Caenorhabditis elegans: one gene and its partners. The protein of the gene in region 2 purifies or fractionates together with the protein of the main gene of each other region. This does not show direct contact. Each region holds a gene or a part of one and is shown on either strand. Other genes may lie near its edges.

Evidence for each region. Proteins that work in one complex are often made in the same cells at the same time.
Region 1: the proteins of C45E5.1 (region 2) and cri-2 fractionate together in Caenorhabditis elegans (co-fractionation; one large-scale study listed by BioGRID). This does not show direct contact.
Region 3: the proteins of C45E5.1 (region 2) and F13B12.4 fractionate together in Caenorhabditis elegans (co-fractionation; one large-scale study listed by BioGRID). This does not show direct contact.

What each region holds. Positions count from the first base shown.
Region 1 is NC_003283.11:8,199,504-8,203,343, reverse strand, and holds cri-2 (Putative metalloproteinase inhibitor tag-225), read right to left. Parts: upstream 1,537-3,840; coding exon 1,312-1,536; intron 1,171-1,311; coding exon 964-1,170; intron 920-963; coding exon 875-919; 3' UTR 821-874; downstream 1-820.
Region 2 is NC_003282.8:5,742,113-5,748,267, reverse strand, and holds C45E5.1 (Glycerol-3-phosphate phosphatase), read right to left. Parts: upstream 3,866-6,155; 5' UTR 3,859-3,865; coding exon 3,662-3,858; intron 3,632-3,661; exon of another isoform or gene 3,611-3,631; intron 3,252-3,610; coding exon 2,958-3,251; intron 2,903-2,957; exon of another isoform or gene 2,882-2,902; intron 2,385-2,881; exon of another isoform or gene 2,364-2,384; intron 2,209-2,363; coding exon 1,906-2,208; intron 1,846-1,905; exon of another isoform or gene 1,825-1,845; intron 1,566-1,824; coding exon 1,448-1,565; 3' UTR 1,158-1,447; downstream 1-1,157. Other genes in the region: nhr-46 (Nuclear Hormone Receptor family), read left to right, coding at 1-152, 203-363, 409-516; chil-11 (GH18 domain-containing protein), read right to left, coding at 5,288-6,155.
Region 3 is NC_003282.8:10,443,763-10,449,427, forward strand, and holds F13B12.4 (Putative pyridoxal-phosphate dependent protein F13B12.4), read right to left. Parts: upstream 3,043-5,665; 5' UTR 3,041-3,042; coding exon 2,929-3,040; intron 2,873-2,928; coding exon 2,675-2,872; intron 2,507-2,674; coding exon 2,334-2,506; intron 2,032-2,333; coding exon 1,442-2,031; intron 1,244-1,441; coding exon 1,009-1,243; 3' UTR 823-1,008; downstream 1-822. Other genes in the region: F13B12.7 (Neprosin domain-containing protein), read left to right, coding at 332-391, 435-612, 656-822.

The DNA.
Region 1 (3,840 bases), on a different chromosome or scaffold from region 2:
AGCCCAGGCATACATGAAGAAAGATGGAGATGGTAGGGGAAGGTAAAGAAGGGTCAGATGTGTGGTGATAATTGTGTTATGTTTACTTTGTGAAAAGACAAGAAGAACATGAGAAGGTGGGAGAACACGGGAATTGAATAAAATTTATAATCCAGCTACAGATGAATTCAAAATTTTGTTTTGACAATTTAGCAAACTTATTCAAATCGGTAGAACTCAAAAACAGAAGGTTTTAGCGAAATGTGCTTGAATAAAAAAGTCGTGTTCATAATGTTGTTGACAAATTTTTTTATGAATATTCCACGACAGTTTTCAACGACAAACATTGGAAAACTCAAACAGTTTTACACAGTTATTCATTTTAAAACTGATCTCAGAGCACCCGAGCAAATTTGGAAACATTTTCTCAACAGGAACCTGAAACATGAAATTTTTCTCCAAAGATAACTTTAATAGATGTTGGGTATAGGAATTTTTTTCTTGATTTATTCAAAGATTAAAGCTATAAGTTTTGAACAAAATATTCCCGGCAGAGAACACATACATATATAGAACACCTGAAAATGTGAATGGCGCTGTTGAACCATTTCAGTGTAGCCATCAATAGGGACCGTGTAGTCATGTAGTGAGACTTTCACCCTTTGTAGTCTTACAGCTGAAAACATCTGTCACCCTCTGATTATCGAATACCGATTATTGAAAAAATAATGCTTTCAATTTTTTACAAACAATAACTTCTGCTCACTCACATGAAAATATCGTTTGTTTTATCATAGCTTCGCTTTAAAAGTTTTTTTCATTAATTGTAAGTTTATTTAATCAGATTCATTAAAGTTTTATTATCAAATACTAATAAAATCGTTTTTATTTCTTTCTAGCATTTGATAGACTTGACTTGAGATTGCAATGTCTGTGGAACCTGGAAGTTAACAATTTATTTAGCAAACAGCATTTTCAACTCACATTTTTCCATTCAAGAACGTTTTCAAATGACGTTTGAGATCTGTCATCTGGCAGTACTTGACCGCAAAGAACAGTATACAAAGCATTTGGTCCTTCAACACGACCAGCAAGTAGATATTCATGACCGGCGGCAATCTTGAGCCCGCAAGCTGGAGCTTCTGATGGAGTGAAAATTTCATCTGGCAGAGTTGTCATGTTGGATGGTTTCTGAAATTAAAAAAACTTTGACATAGAAACATTTTTCTGTAAGTTTGAAATGCATGTTACTTTCAGTTGTATAGAACGCTGATATAAGCTTATCAGTAAGTTTTTAGCACCTGCGGGGTAAAATAAATCAAACTCGCTTACCTTAAAAACCTCGACATGTTGCACAGTGTATCTCAAATTATTCAATCCCTTTCTCTCGGATCCTTCTGGAAGTCCTTGTTTTCCTACACGGACCTTCACTTTGACATGAGAAACCCAGTGAGCATTGCAGAATGATTCCTTGGTTGATTGCTCTCTACACTTGCAAGCAAGAGTTACAGCAATGAGAACTGATAGAATGACTAGAGATAAAGATAAATTTTGCATCTGAAAATGGAATTAGTATAAATTCGAGGTGAAAAAAAATTGTGAAAATGAAAAAAATGAAACATGAAGAAAGCAGGAAAATTTTGGTAATAATATATTTTTTTACACAAAAATTGTTTTTGATGGCAAAATAACATTAACTTGCTCAAATAATTCATTTTTCTAGCCAAATAATTCATATCATAAACTTTAAAAATACAAGAATCTATAAATTTGGGCTCAAGTTTTTGTTTTTGAAACAAACAAAAAAAAAAGAAAATAGTTATTTTGTTGATAGTTCAACCCAAGACTGATCGTGAGATGACATTGGTTGAGCGAATTGAATCGGTCAAGAGTAGATATAGTACAGAGATCCGAGAGATATGAGACGATGAGAGACAGGAAGTGTAACAATAACATTAGTGTGACAAAAAAAAATGAAAGATGGTGAATAAGTGATGAATCATTATTATGACGTCTTGAAATATGATAAAGATAACTGAAAAGAGATTTTGATAGAAATTCCAAACTCACTATTTTACAGACATTTTTCTGGAAATAATAGTTTTGGAAACTGGAGTCTGAATACTTAATTTGCATGTACATAAGAAATAAGTTTTGATTGAATTAATATGTAGAAAAAAAAAGTTTGCGAAGGCACGGAAACTCCTTGGCCTGCATAAATTTCTGTTATAGCATCCCAGGCAAATTTAATGTTCACCTATTATAACCCAAGACTATTGTAGCTTCATCATGGCATCGAGACTAATAACAACTTCTTCACAATGCTGCAAAACATAAACCAAAGTTTGTGATTCACTATTGGACTTTTGGAATATTTGACTTTATAAAATAAAAAACGAGACACAAAAATATTGTTTCACAAACCATTCATCAAACTTCAAAAAAAAAAGTTTCAATCCGTAGAGACTCACTCAAACATTCACTTTCAATGACAATAGCCAACTGCCGTGCTAATAATTGAACAAACTGACAGTATACTTCATTTCACGCTTGTTTCAAGCGAATGTTCAGCTTGGCTTATAGCAGTTTTTTCAGAGACCCGAGCTTTTATAAAATTCCGGTGGACTCATAAAATATGGTCACAAAACCAAAAAACGAAAAGCATCATTCATCCATACCAAATGATTTATGTGGTAATCAAAGCTTAAAATGAAATTCTTATGATTTCTGATTCTTTGATTCTAAAGCTTGAAAAATGTGATTCTAAAGCTTGAAAACAAGCTTGAAATATAATTTTGTTTGCCATGAGATTTTTGGATAAAAGACGATTTTTTTGCAATTATCGTTCACAAAATTGTTCTTTACAACTATCCCGAATGAAACTACTGAAAATTAAACATTATATGATTATTGTGGAATATTATTTTGAACTAAATTATCAGCTTTGATTATTTGAAATTGAAATTCCGGCAAGGAAGTAATCGTACTTTTATAAAAATTTTCATAGCCCATAAGTTCACATTTTCCCGTCCAAAAACAATTGTCTCTATAAATATGTTCATTGAACCTCTTTTTCCTAAATTTCCGCATTTTCCCACTATTTCTCTCAATTCTCCCAATTATGTTGTTGTTTGTGAGTGTCACCATAGGCCGTTCTACGGAGAGTTTTGTTTGTATGTCTCGGTTCTCTTCATCTCTCGGTTTTCAAGAAAAGGGATTTTCCATTTTAACGTTTTTGCACTTTTTTTTAAAGCTAGTGATACCGATTTTTAAAAAAAACAATTAAGACGTATCATTTTCAAACTTAAAGGTTAAACTTTCAAACGACAAATTTTGATTTTTGAGCGTTTCGTTCCAATATGAAGGATCATGTTTCCTTCAACTGATCGTTTCGACGTTTTTTCTTCTCCAGTTTTTCTTGTTTACTTCGTTTAACCTTGATGATCTTCTAGTGGTTTATTGTCGAGATTTTCATTCAAAATTTACTAATTTCAATAAGATTTAAATCTAAAGTTTAGAGTCTTTGATGTATAAATTGGACATACTGAAAATTAAACGTTTTGGAAAATTTTCCGTAAGTACAGAAACATAGTTTCAAATAAAAAATTCGAAAACATTTCTAACCATTACGATTAATCAGAAAAAAAAAATAATTCAGAAAATAACGCTTCGTTTACAAAAACCTTCCACGCAAACAAATATTGTTTACCAAAAACTGATAACGTGGATGTTTTGAAATATGTTGTTGTTTTCCCACATCTTCGTTGATTTTTCTCTTTGAAGCTCTGGTATTTCAAGACTTAAAAGCATTTTTTGGCTTTCACCTTGACTTTCTTTTACCCTAGTTTAATAAGTATACAA
Region 2 (6,155 bases):
CGAAGATCAAAAGAAGCTCCCAGAACGATGGGCTCAAACGTATGGAGTTGTGTGCCGCAAGTTGATCGATTTGATTGTAAAGGCTATGATTGAGTTGCAAATCACTGAGGAAGAGTATTGCCTCATCAAGACTATTTCTCTATTCCAGCAAGGTAAAGATTTGCAGTTCTTTTCTATTTTACTCAATGTTTAATTTTTTAAGATTGCATCCTTTCGGAAGCCGGTCAAGGAATCTGCTCGCGAATGCGTGATCGCCTTCTTGACGCTCTTTCAGCCCACATTGAAAAGCGGTACCCATATCACACGACCAGTCAACGAATGACTCGTGCTTTGAAGATCTCACTCATGTTGCCAAGCTTCTCGGTAAGAAAATTAACACCTAGAAAATCCAATAAAAATATTTTTCAGCACATTGGACAAGTCGAATCTACATTGATCACCCAACTCACTGCAGCTGATCTCCATCAACTCAGCGGTGTCCCAATGGAAATTTGTACTGCCCAAACCACTCTCTAGATGCCAAATCCATATACTGTGTTATTTGCCTACTAAAACTCTCTCTTTCTCTATTTCTCTTTCTTCATGTTTCTCTTCTCGTTTTTCTTGAAATCGTGTGCTTTGCGGGTTAAATGTTCTTTTATTGAATGTACACACCTCTTTTCATTTCAATCATTCATCTTGTTCTATGTCTCATTTCTCTCCGTCTCTCACTCACTCACTCTACACTCATTTTCTCATCTGTGATTCTGAATTTCATTTCCAGTCCAACCTTGTTTTAGATGGAAATTTCTTATTTATTAATTTGTATGTACACCTTGATGGCTTTATTGGTTTTTTACTCTCAAAATTGTTTTATTTTTGACCTGAGAAATAAATTTCTTCGTGGATTAAAAGTTCGGCAACTATTGCAACTGAAACACTAAAACTTCTACAATGAATGAAAAATACCGCGTAATAAAAAACAACCAGTTTTCAAATTATGAAGAACAAGATAATTTTGAACTTCAAATTTCCAAAAAAAATCTGTTTCACAGAATAAATTTATCTGGTGTGTACACTCCGGAATGTTCACCTTTTACCTGTTTTGAAATCCTAATTAATGATTGTATGATGATTGAGAGTAGTTATTTATTTTAGACTGTGTATTTCTAGAAAAGCAGTGAAATCCCATTTTTATTGACTACAAAATTAAACACGTACGGTTTTACATTCTTTTGTAGATGGCACAGTTAGACATAAAACTTTAAAAAAATCAATGAGGATAAATGCCGCGTATTTCAAGAAAAAATATAACAGGAAGATTACTTCAAAACTCGAGGTTTTGAAAAACATTTGCAGTTTCACGGAATAAATTTATCTGGTGAGCACACTCCTAAATGCTAATATGCTGTTTGGCTCAGGAGAGATATAAAAACATCCTTTTACCTAGTTATGTTATTGTAAAAATCTAGAATTCTGAAAATCTACATGTAAAATCTGGAATTTTCGTGGATTCCCCGTTTTTACGAGCGAGTTCAATGTCCAATAGAGTGTTGACTCCGGTTTGCATCCAAACAGTTGTGAACCTGGAAAGAAAATTTTTAGATAGTTTTGGTGTTAACTGTTATTAAAAATTGAATACTTCTGGTTACTTCTATTGATCTTGCATGCAATTTTTGATTAGTCAGTAAAAATGCAAGACCAATAAAAGCTACAATAATTATAAGAAACTAAGCTGTTCAAAACCATTTCTTAAAAAAAAAACCAAACTTAAAAAAATTAAAAATTAAATTTTTAGCGGTTTCTGAATCACTTGAAAAGTAGATTGACTTCGAGTTTTGACATTGTGATGTTTTTTACTACTACTTTCAAAGTTTATCAGTCACAACGTGGAATAAAACTCATAAAAAAATAAAAATTACTAACCCATTATTTTTCCCGAACATCATATCCGTATCCAATCGATCTCCAAACATGACAGTGCGCTCGGAATTGAATTTTCCTGCCTGAACTCTCGATTTCAAAAAGTTTGCCAATTGTTCGTGTGGTTTTCCGAATACAATATCCGGTTTTCGACCAGAAACATTTTGAATAGCAGCCGACCAGGGTCCAGTTTCAGGAAGAATCATTCCTGGTACAGGTCCCGGGAATGTTGAATCTTCATTGCAAACGAGGAACTCGACTAATGGATCCGCAAGAAAATTGGCGGCTTTCATCAGTTTAGGATAGCTGTAATACGAACAATTTAGATAATTGATAAAATAATATATTTCAATTTTTTTGAAATTATATATACATTGTGTAGTTTTTTTTAGTTTTCAAGCCGTCTCAAAAAAATTTGTATAAACTCAAATGAGCTGTTTCAGAGAAACGGAAAAATGTTAGGTGTTCAATTCTTGATGTGATTGGATTAAGAATTCATGGTTATCATATTATGCATGTATTGAAACATGTTAACCAGATTTTTTAAATTATGCTCTCAGTTTGTATTACAATCATTTACTATATATAAAGCGCTTATTCCGTTTGTCCATAGTTTGTAGTCCTTGTAGTCTGTGAAGTTTTAGCTTATGGATTGATAGTGAGTTGGGGTTAGTGTAGGGATATAGTCGGGGTACTGTAGTGGTACAATAGTGGTACGGTAGGAATACTGTAGGGTTACGGTAGTTTCAGAAAAAAATTAGTTTTGAGCCCCAGAAGTCGGGAGCCGCGCCGGAGGTGATATAGATCAACAATTAATTATCCCCCCCCCCCACTTGATGCCCCGGTCTATTGTATGGTTAATAGGATAACTTTATCGTAAACTTTATATTTTACCGTTGAATACCCTGTGATTTTTCTCTTTGTATTTGGTGAAATATTAAAAAAAACAGTCGTTCTAATAAAAAAACTAGTAAATACTTGTTTGAAGTTCAACGACGCACTGATTTAACATAATCTCAACTTTACTAGATACAAATCTTGAAACAGTAACCCACCTGAAATGTGAATCGAAGCTCACAACAACTGCTTTTGGAATTTTCGATTTAACATCAACTTCATTAATAAAATCTCCATCTGTATAATTATCCTTATGATCGGGTCCAGTTCCAAAGCATTTAACTCCGCCTCCTTCTTCCAAACTTTTTTTTAAATTCTCCACTCCAATGAGATAAATGTATTGATTTTCAAATTTATCAGAATTTTGTTTGAAATAATCACATAGAACGATGGTTGGACTAAGTAAGTTCTCTCTTCCAAGTCGACCAAATCGCATTTTTTTGACTTTTTTCCTGAAAGAGAAATAAATATAAAAACTGTTCCCATAAAAAGTTTCAAACCGTTATTTTCAATTATATGTACGCTGGAGAAAAAAAAACAGCGGGATTTTTTTCAATATTCAAAAAACGGTCCGAAGTGACAGAACATAACCGTTTTCAAAAATTTAAAGAATTTTATTTGGAATTTAAGTTTTCGACACAAAATTTGTGGTAAATAAATCGGTTCTTTTTTTCAAATTTCTCTTGGAATTTTATTAAAAAATCATATATGTACTTCATTTTAAAAAAAACCGGGAAAAACTATTCCATCTCCACATTAAAAAACCGGTTTCAACTGCCCTACTTTTAAAATGTATTCATCAAATTTTTGATATCTTTTTTTGAATTGTGAGAAATGTTCTTTAATTACAATAAAAACTTGCATATATTGTTCCAAAGTCTTTGTCGAATTATTCGTTGTAATAAAAACACTCTTTTCCGGATCATCAAGTAATGTATTAATCCATTCAGCAGCTCCAGGAATCGGAATATCTCCAGTCCAAAGAACACCATCGGCATCGAAAACGAATGTATCAAAATTTGATAAAAGCTGAGATTTTGTAATTGTTGGAGGAAGCATTGTATTCCTAGAATTTCAGAGTTTTGAAGTACGAAAAAATGGAAAATTGAATGGTGTAATGGAGAAATAAGATTGTCTATCAAGTGGTCTGACCTTTTCGCCTACGAAATACGGGTGCATTATTTGAGAGATAAGAGAAATCATTGAACGATTATTTCGATTAGAACATCTTTTTTATCATTAGAACTTTGTTTAAATAATTCATCGTATTGTCTTTGAAACTAACAATTTCGTTTTGCATTTTTCATTGAAATCAATGTTATTGATGTGCAGCCAAAATCTTTTTTCGAGTTATTTTTCATTTAAAAAATGTTGTTTTCTGAATTCTTTGCTTTTTTTTTAATGTTTCAAATCGAAAGTATAGTAACAAGCAATTATTTCGTTTCAATTCTCCGAAATTCAGAAATAATTTAAAATTTCAAACCTTTTAATTTTGACGTCCGCTACAACCGATCGGAAATTTGTCGAGTCAGCCCATCCACCAATTGAAAACATCATTTTAACATTCAGATTTTCATATTTTATTAATCGATTTAAATTCTTGAATCTTCCTTTTCCACGATCATTTAAAATGTCAAATGTTCCATTCGTCTTCAAGTAAAGAAATCCGAAAACTGCATGAGTTAGTTTGGATAGTTCTGAAGCTGTAATTTCAGTTGTAGCATCTTCAGTGTAGAATCCAATGATCCGCTTGTCCGACACATGTTCTCGAAAAACATTTATTATTAAATTTTAATTTTTATAAATGTATTTTTGTTTGAAAAAGAGTTTGTACGATGACTGTCTTAATATTGCAAAAACCTATAAGGTATTCCTTAGTTTAAGTTGTGGAAAAATTAAACATATATTCTAAAATGGCACAGAATCATAAATATCGCTAGAGAAGTTATTTAAAAAAATTTTTTTTTTTTTTGCAAGTTCGTTTCGAAGTAAAAATAGTAACCAATGAGAAAATAGAATGAGCAAGTCGTTTTGTTTATCTACTATCATCATTTCGAGATGAGTTTTTGAAATGAAAAATTAATAAAGAAAGAGGAGTTGTTTAAACCGTAGACGTTGCGTTTCACACTATGCAACTGTTTTCAAAGTAAAAGTACTGGCAGCACAAAACTAAATGCAATTTTATCATCGTTCAAAGTTACCACAAGTTACTATTTACAACTAAAGTTTTGAATGGAACAAACTTAATTACTGTCATTTCAACATACATTTTTCAACAATTATTTCAAAAATTGAATAATTCTAAATACTACGGTTTTTAAAGTTTTGTGTTGCAGGGGGAGAGGAGCACTTCAATTAAAAACTTTTCAAAAAATAACACTTTATTGTAGTCATTGAACTTAACAAACATTTTGAACATTCCATCATTGACACTTTACACAAATTATGCTGGCAATACAATCAAATTATTACAGACATCATAAATAATTTATTGATTATTTTGAATTATTCTATTATTTAAATTTCTAGAATGAGATCCGACTGATTCAATAACACCGTACTGTGACTGATCATCACTGGGATTTCCGAATTGACCGGAAACTGCTTCAATCATACTATTATCCTGATCATCATTCTCCATCAACCAAATCCATACTCCTCCAAGATTCATAGATTTAACATAATTGGCTTTTGCTTCAATACTTTTCTCAGTTTCAAAAGTGATAAAAGTTTTTGTTTCTGGTTTCCAAATGTATAAAGTTTTAGTTGTATCATCCCATGAAGGGTTTGATAATTCAATTCCATCACTTTCTGCAGTCCATCTAGACATATAAACTTCTCCGATCGCTCCATTATTTTGAAGTGTTACATTTCTAAAAACCTCGATTCCAGGTTTAATCGCGTTTTCCACATTTCTCCAATGTCTCACATAAAATGGAATTATCAAATTGAACTTTTCAGGTTTTCGAGTGTATCTGATGTAGTACTTCATAGTATAATCGACACTAAATTTCCTCCTAGCATCAAGCCCTCCGTACAACGGAGCAGATGGTCCTGTGGGTGTACCCCATTGATTACTCCATGGTGCCGCGTAATTCATAGAGTACACATTCACAAAATCGACACGCTCAATGATTTCTTCAATATCATAGCCATCTTCATAGTTCTCTATCCCAACTGGTGGTGCTGTGATTGATAATATGTATTGTTTTTCTTGATTCAAAAATTCAATTTTAACTTCTTCAAGAAACAAACAAAATTCGGATTGAACTGCAAGTGGAACCCATCTCCAGAATAAATCAATTCCGTCTAGCTGGTGCTCTTTAAGGAAATCAACTATTGACTCGATGAACATT
Region 3 (5,665 bases), 4.7 Mb from region 2:
AATAATATTGCACAACTTGAAAGTTTATGGAACATTATTTCAAATAAAGATGTATATTAAAAACTATCTTTTCGTGTTGTGTTGTTTTAGTTTTCAAATAGAATATGTGGAATCGCTAAAAGTAAGTTTTGTAAGGTGATTGAAACTGGACACAAGGCGGGCGGGCGTTTTCATTGCTAAAACTTCAAAAAACAATTACAATTGTCGGCAGCATTTTTCATTGCAAATTATCTATTGTAAAACATTTTTGCATACTAATGTAATTTGCACTCAGATAGCAATCAAACTATTCGAGAAAGATCCGAATGAAGTTAACATATTGACTTCCTTAATGAGAACGGGAGATATTCCTAAATTTGTTTCCAAGACAACTAGAATGTACCGTATTCAAGTGAGTTAAAATTTTCGCCATGTAAGTAAAGTCCGCATTTCAGAACGAAGTTTGCAACAAAACTGAAATATTTCAATTTTCGATCGGAAATAAAGTTGTCAGCTGTCCTCTTTACGATGGGTTGGCTTTTCTTGACAATAATTCAACACATATTGTGCAATGTCCAACATATTGTGAAGTTTGCAAGAAAATGTTCATTTGTTCGAAAAGATCATTGACAGGTCAGTTTTTAGAACTTTGAAAAATCACAATTTCTGTTTTCAGGAATCATCTACACACCGGATGGTCGCAAAAAAGATTCAATTGATTTTCAATATGGTTTTCTTGATCAACCTGTTGTTCGCGGCGTCGACTGGTCAATTTTTGTTGTGTATATTTTCATATTTGCCTTATGTGCAAATATTATAACTTTTGCGTTTTCAGATAATTAAATAATAAATAGTTTATTCAATTAAACTTGAATACAGATCAAAGCAAGCACAAAACTCATGCACGGGAATAGACTTAATCACTGGAACTATGAGTTCTATTTTCGAAAAAAACAATCTAATTTAAAATTGATCAATTACGAACCTGTACAATACGGAGAGACACAAAAACACAGAAATGCAAAACAGTTAAACTTTAAAAGCTCCTGGACACATAGTGAGACCTTTCGAATAGAAATCAGAACCCGTATCAATTGATTCTTGAATCAGCTTTTTCCAACATTCCATTCCCATAACACCTCCAAACTTCTTGAAACTTTTCTCGACCCATTCGTTGTTAAGGTACGTACTACGGTAGAAATCTCCTGGGTCACAAGCCAGTGTAACAATCGTAAGACGATGCTTGATAGCAGATTTTCTGGCTCTGAAAATTGTGTTCATCAAGATTTGATAGCCAAGGTATACGCAAGGTATATTGATACGCTTGCGTAAACTAAACTATTAAAACATATTTTTTAACGCAAAAATTTAAATGTACTAGTAAACGCTTAAGTCGTCAAAAGACAACGAATAAATACTCTAGACGGATTAGTTTGCAATGATGTCAGTTTGAATTACTTACTTGTTCTGATAGGCTTTGTAAAGAGAAACAAGGAAGTTGAGTGATGTTGACGGTCCCACATTATAACCTTTTTCATCGAGAATTCTCATTGTAGCTACTGATGCAATATCAGGCATTTTCATGGCTTCATGGATTACATTTCTTGTTAAACTTGTTGTTTCTCCGTACCACACTGGTTCAATATCATATCCGTAACCAATTCCAGCAATCCCTGGAGGTGTCCAAATACCTGCACCAGATTGATTTGTGAATTTATGTCCAATTACATAATCGTAGAATAAAGAGTATTGAGAATCGGAGAGTACGACTTTTGTAGGTGCTCCATATCTAGCGACATATCTGCCAACTGACGAAATAGTTCCACCGGTTCCTGCTGAATGAACAAAGTAGTCAGGGATTTTGACAATTTGCTCTTTGTCCTTTTTGAGTTGAACAATAATTTCATGATAGACATTTGTGGACTCAAAATAAAAGTCTCCACTTTCATGGAATTCTTCAGCTTTTTCAGCGTTTCCAAATTGATTCATGTAGAATCCGTGGTTTTTGTCGGCGAATTCCTTAGCTTTTGCATTGCGAAGAGCCACAGGAACCTGAAACAAAGCAAAACTTACAATAATTTTTTTTATTTTTCTGCTTCTTTCTCGACATTTTCCAACTTTCTTAACAACGCTTCCCTCATCTTTAAAAATTTTAACGCGAAATTTCACACAATAAAAGTTGTTTCTCTATAAAGAAATTTTATAAGAAATTGGCGTTGAGTTGAATGAGAAAGTTTTGGGGTTAGAGTTCTTAAAAACTGGAAAAACTTTGGCTAACTCAAAAAATTGGTCAATATTAAATGAAAATTAAACCAAAAATACTGTATGTGACTCTGTGTAAGTAGAAGAAGTACCTTGATAATTTTTCCTCCGAAACTCTCAATTTGCTTGACTTTCTCCTTTTCCAAATTATCAGCAACGACAGCATAGTATGGGACATTGACTAAAGTACACATGTAGGCTTCAGCAGACCCAGTATTACCAGATGTTGAGTCGTAGACAGCGGATGTTTTTGAAGTCACTTTTCCTGGAAATTTTAAAATTTGCAGAAATTTTTTTTGAGAAATGTTATTTATTTAACGTTTCTGGACTAGCTTACTCATAGCTCTCATACTCATAGCTTAGCAGTAAAAAACCTGCAGAATATAAGTTTTCGCAGATACACTGTACTTCACCAATTAAATAACATACTAACCTTCTGTAATAGCCCAAAGAAGAAGAGCCCATGCAAATCTGTGCTTCAACGTTCTCGTAGCTGTGGCAGTTTCATTTTTGAAGAAAATGTCGGCGTTCGGGAAACCAGGGGGACTGAATTTTGTCATTGGTGTGTGTCCCATCTTTCGTCGTTCATTCCATAATTTTTGAATTGCTCCGAGCCTCCATTTTGCTTCATCTAAAAATATTTTATGTTTATTGAATTAAAAAGACCTTGAGAAAAAAAAAACTAACAATCAGGTACAGCATCCTCATTCGGAATTCGACTTTCAGAAATTTTTGTTATATCTTCTGCAAGGCAACTTGCGGATATGCTCAGAAACAGAGCCAGAAGAAGTAGTTTCATGGCTGAAAACGATGAATTAAATTTGTGATTGATGTATCAATTGGAATTTTCTTTTATAAGTCCGGGGTCACGCCCACAAGTACAGTAGGAAGATTGAAATTTCGAACGCAATGAAGAGCATGACCACGCCCACAAATTAATGAAAGAGCACAGTTTCCGGAGTCAAACAACTATTATAGTATACATGGTTCATGGAGTGTTTAGAAAGTGAACTTTATAAAAAACTTGAAATGAAAAGTAAACATTAAAAAAATAAGTGATGCGACTATTTATGAATCTAAGTTTTCTTTTTGCAAGAGTTCCGGTTTCAATGATAAGCTGATCAAAATTAAACTCATTTCTTATATGACTTGAAATGATACTCATTTTGAAATAGTGCTTCAAAACAAAAAATAATACCTGGACAATACAAAATTCTCTAATTTTTGAAATGTAGAAATTAAATTTTTCTTAAACTCTGCTAAATGTCATAGGAAGCTTTCTATTCAAAAAATTGCGCGTAAAAGGATATTTTCTAAAATAATATATAGTAAATTTAAGGTTGGTAAAAAGAACTGAAAGATAACTTTTTCATGAGACTGTCTGTCCGCGTGCAAGGCGATATATGCCTGCCCCGTGCCTACTGCCAAAATACACGATAATCCATTTTTAAGTTTCAGTCGAAATTTAAACGCTAGAGAGTTTCAAAACCTTCTCGGCAATTCGGCACCACTTTTATACAAACTTTCCGCACTTTTAATATATATAAGGCTCGAACATTTTTATTATATTGAATTTCCCATAATTGTTTAGAAATAAATCCGCCAGTCCCAAAATTGTTGCATAAATTTGGATATGAAGGTTATTTGCAAAACGATAAAAATCTTTGAAGACACTGAATAAACGAATAACACCCAGATTTGGATCTTCCTGTGGAGATTTGAAAGTTCCCCAGAAAACCTAAAAAACAAAAATATAAAATCATGGTTACAGTAGCCTGAGCTACCCTCCAAGTGTTCTTTTCCTTGCAACTAATGCTTTTAAAGCACAATAAAGATTCGTTCGTTAATTTCTTTGTTTTACGTATTTTGTTCAGTCCAAGTAAACCAAGAATCGGAGCTGATCACTGATGTCTGGTTGTCTCTAGATCAGTTTCTTGCCATTTTTCTAAAAATGTCAAGTCAAAAAAATTTTGATTTGAATTTAGATTCCGGAAACCGGAAGCAGTTTATACTAAGATGATTTGATTTAATTAAAACTACTACATACACTACGGCTTCTCAAATTTTGTTTCAAATCGCATCATCTTCTGAAATGATATCATTTTGAAGCGGTATACAAATTAAAATGAAGCATGTAGGTCAAATGATGTCATATCTTTCTTGCACCTTTGTCTTAATTCATTTTAAACTCATAGAAATTATTGAAGAGATTAGTCTGGAAAAGTATGATGTGTTACTGCTTTCAAACAAAAGATTTGCCAATTGTAAGAGAACAAGGAAATAAACAAAAAAGAACAATTTCAGTACGTCAAGAGGTTTAAATGTTGCAAATTAATTAATTTGATTGCAGAAAAACATCTGTTCGTTTTCAATCTAGAGTAAAGGTTTTAAATTTTGACTACATTACTTTCTAGAAATTTAAGAGTTTTTAAAAATTTAACTCAATTTTGTTCAGATTTTTCACCCGAAAATTACAATTTGTCGAAAACTATTTATACAAACACTCACAAAATGAGTTTAATTTATTATTTTTAAAAAGTGAAAATTTGTATATCCAAAAAAGGAAATCCATAAGTTGCTGAAAAAAGACAACTGCTGGGTTTTTGGCAAAATGCATCTCCCGAACTATGCGGACAAATATTTTTTGCCGCACATCTCTGGTTTGAACATTGAAAAAGCTCCAAAATTGCTATAGCCTCGAAAGAAACCAACCAAAAAAAACTTTGATTGAAATTTTTAAAAAATCTAAACTGTTTCATTATGATATTCGGTCATTTTTAATTTTTGTAAATGAACATATTTAGGAAAATTATTCACTGTTTCACATTTAAATTAAAAATAATTTACCATTACGTTTAAGTTATGGGACGCTTTGAAGATGTACAATCATATTTGTATCTACCGAGAAAGCTATCTGCGAAAAAAACGGAACTGTTCATTTAGCTCTGCCCTTAAAGAAACTTGCATCGATTAATAGATTTATATCTTGTTTCAAACAACCTTCAAACATTTTTAAGCCACTTTTGCTAATACTCATTTGTCTTTAAGTTTAAAATAAACCATGATGCGCGGGCGTTTTTTCAATTATTAAGAAGAGTGATGTCAGTTGAAGTTGATTTTTTAGGGCCTGGAACAAAAAAAATCAATTTTGAAAACTAGTGATGCGCATATCTATATATTTTTAACAATGTATGCATTTAATGTTTAATTCCTGTGAAAAAAATTGAACAAAAAAGGTACCAAAAATATTCATGCAATCTATTAATTCCAAAAATCTAATTTAGGAGCCGGTTGTTTGTCTATAACTTTCTCTCACCCAACTTTACGTGCCAAGCTTATTTATTTCGAGATTAGCAAAAATTTTATCAAACTTGAACCAAACTTAGACGCAGCTATCAAATCTTGCACCAGTTTTGACCAAGGT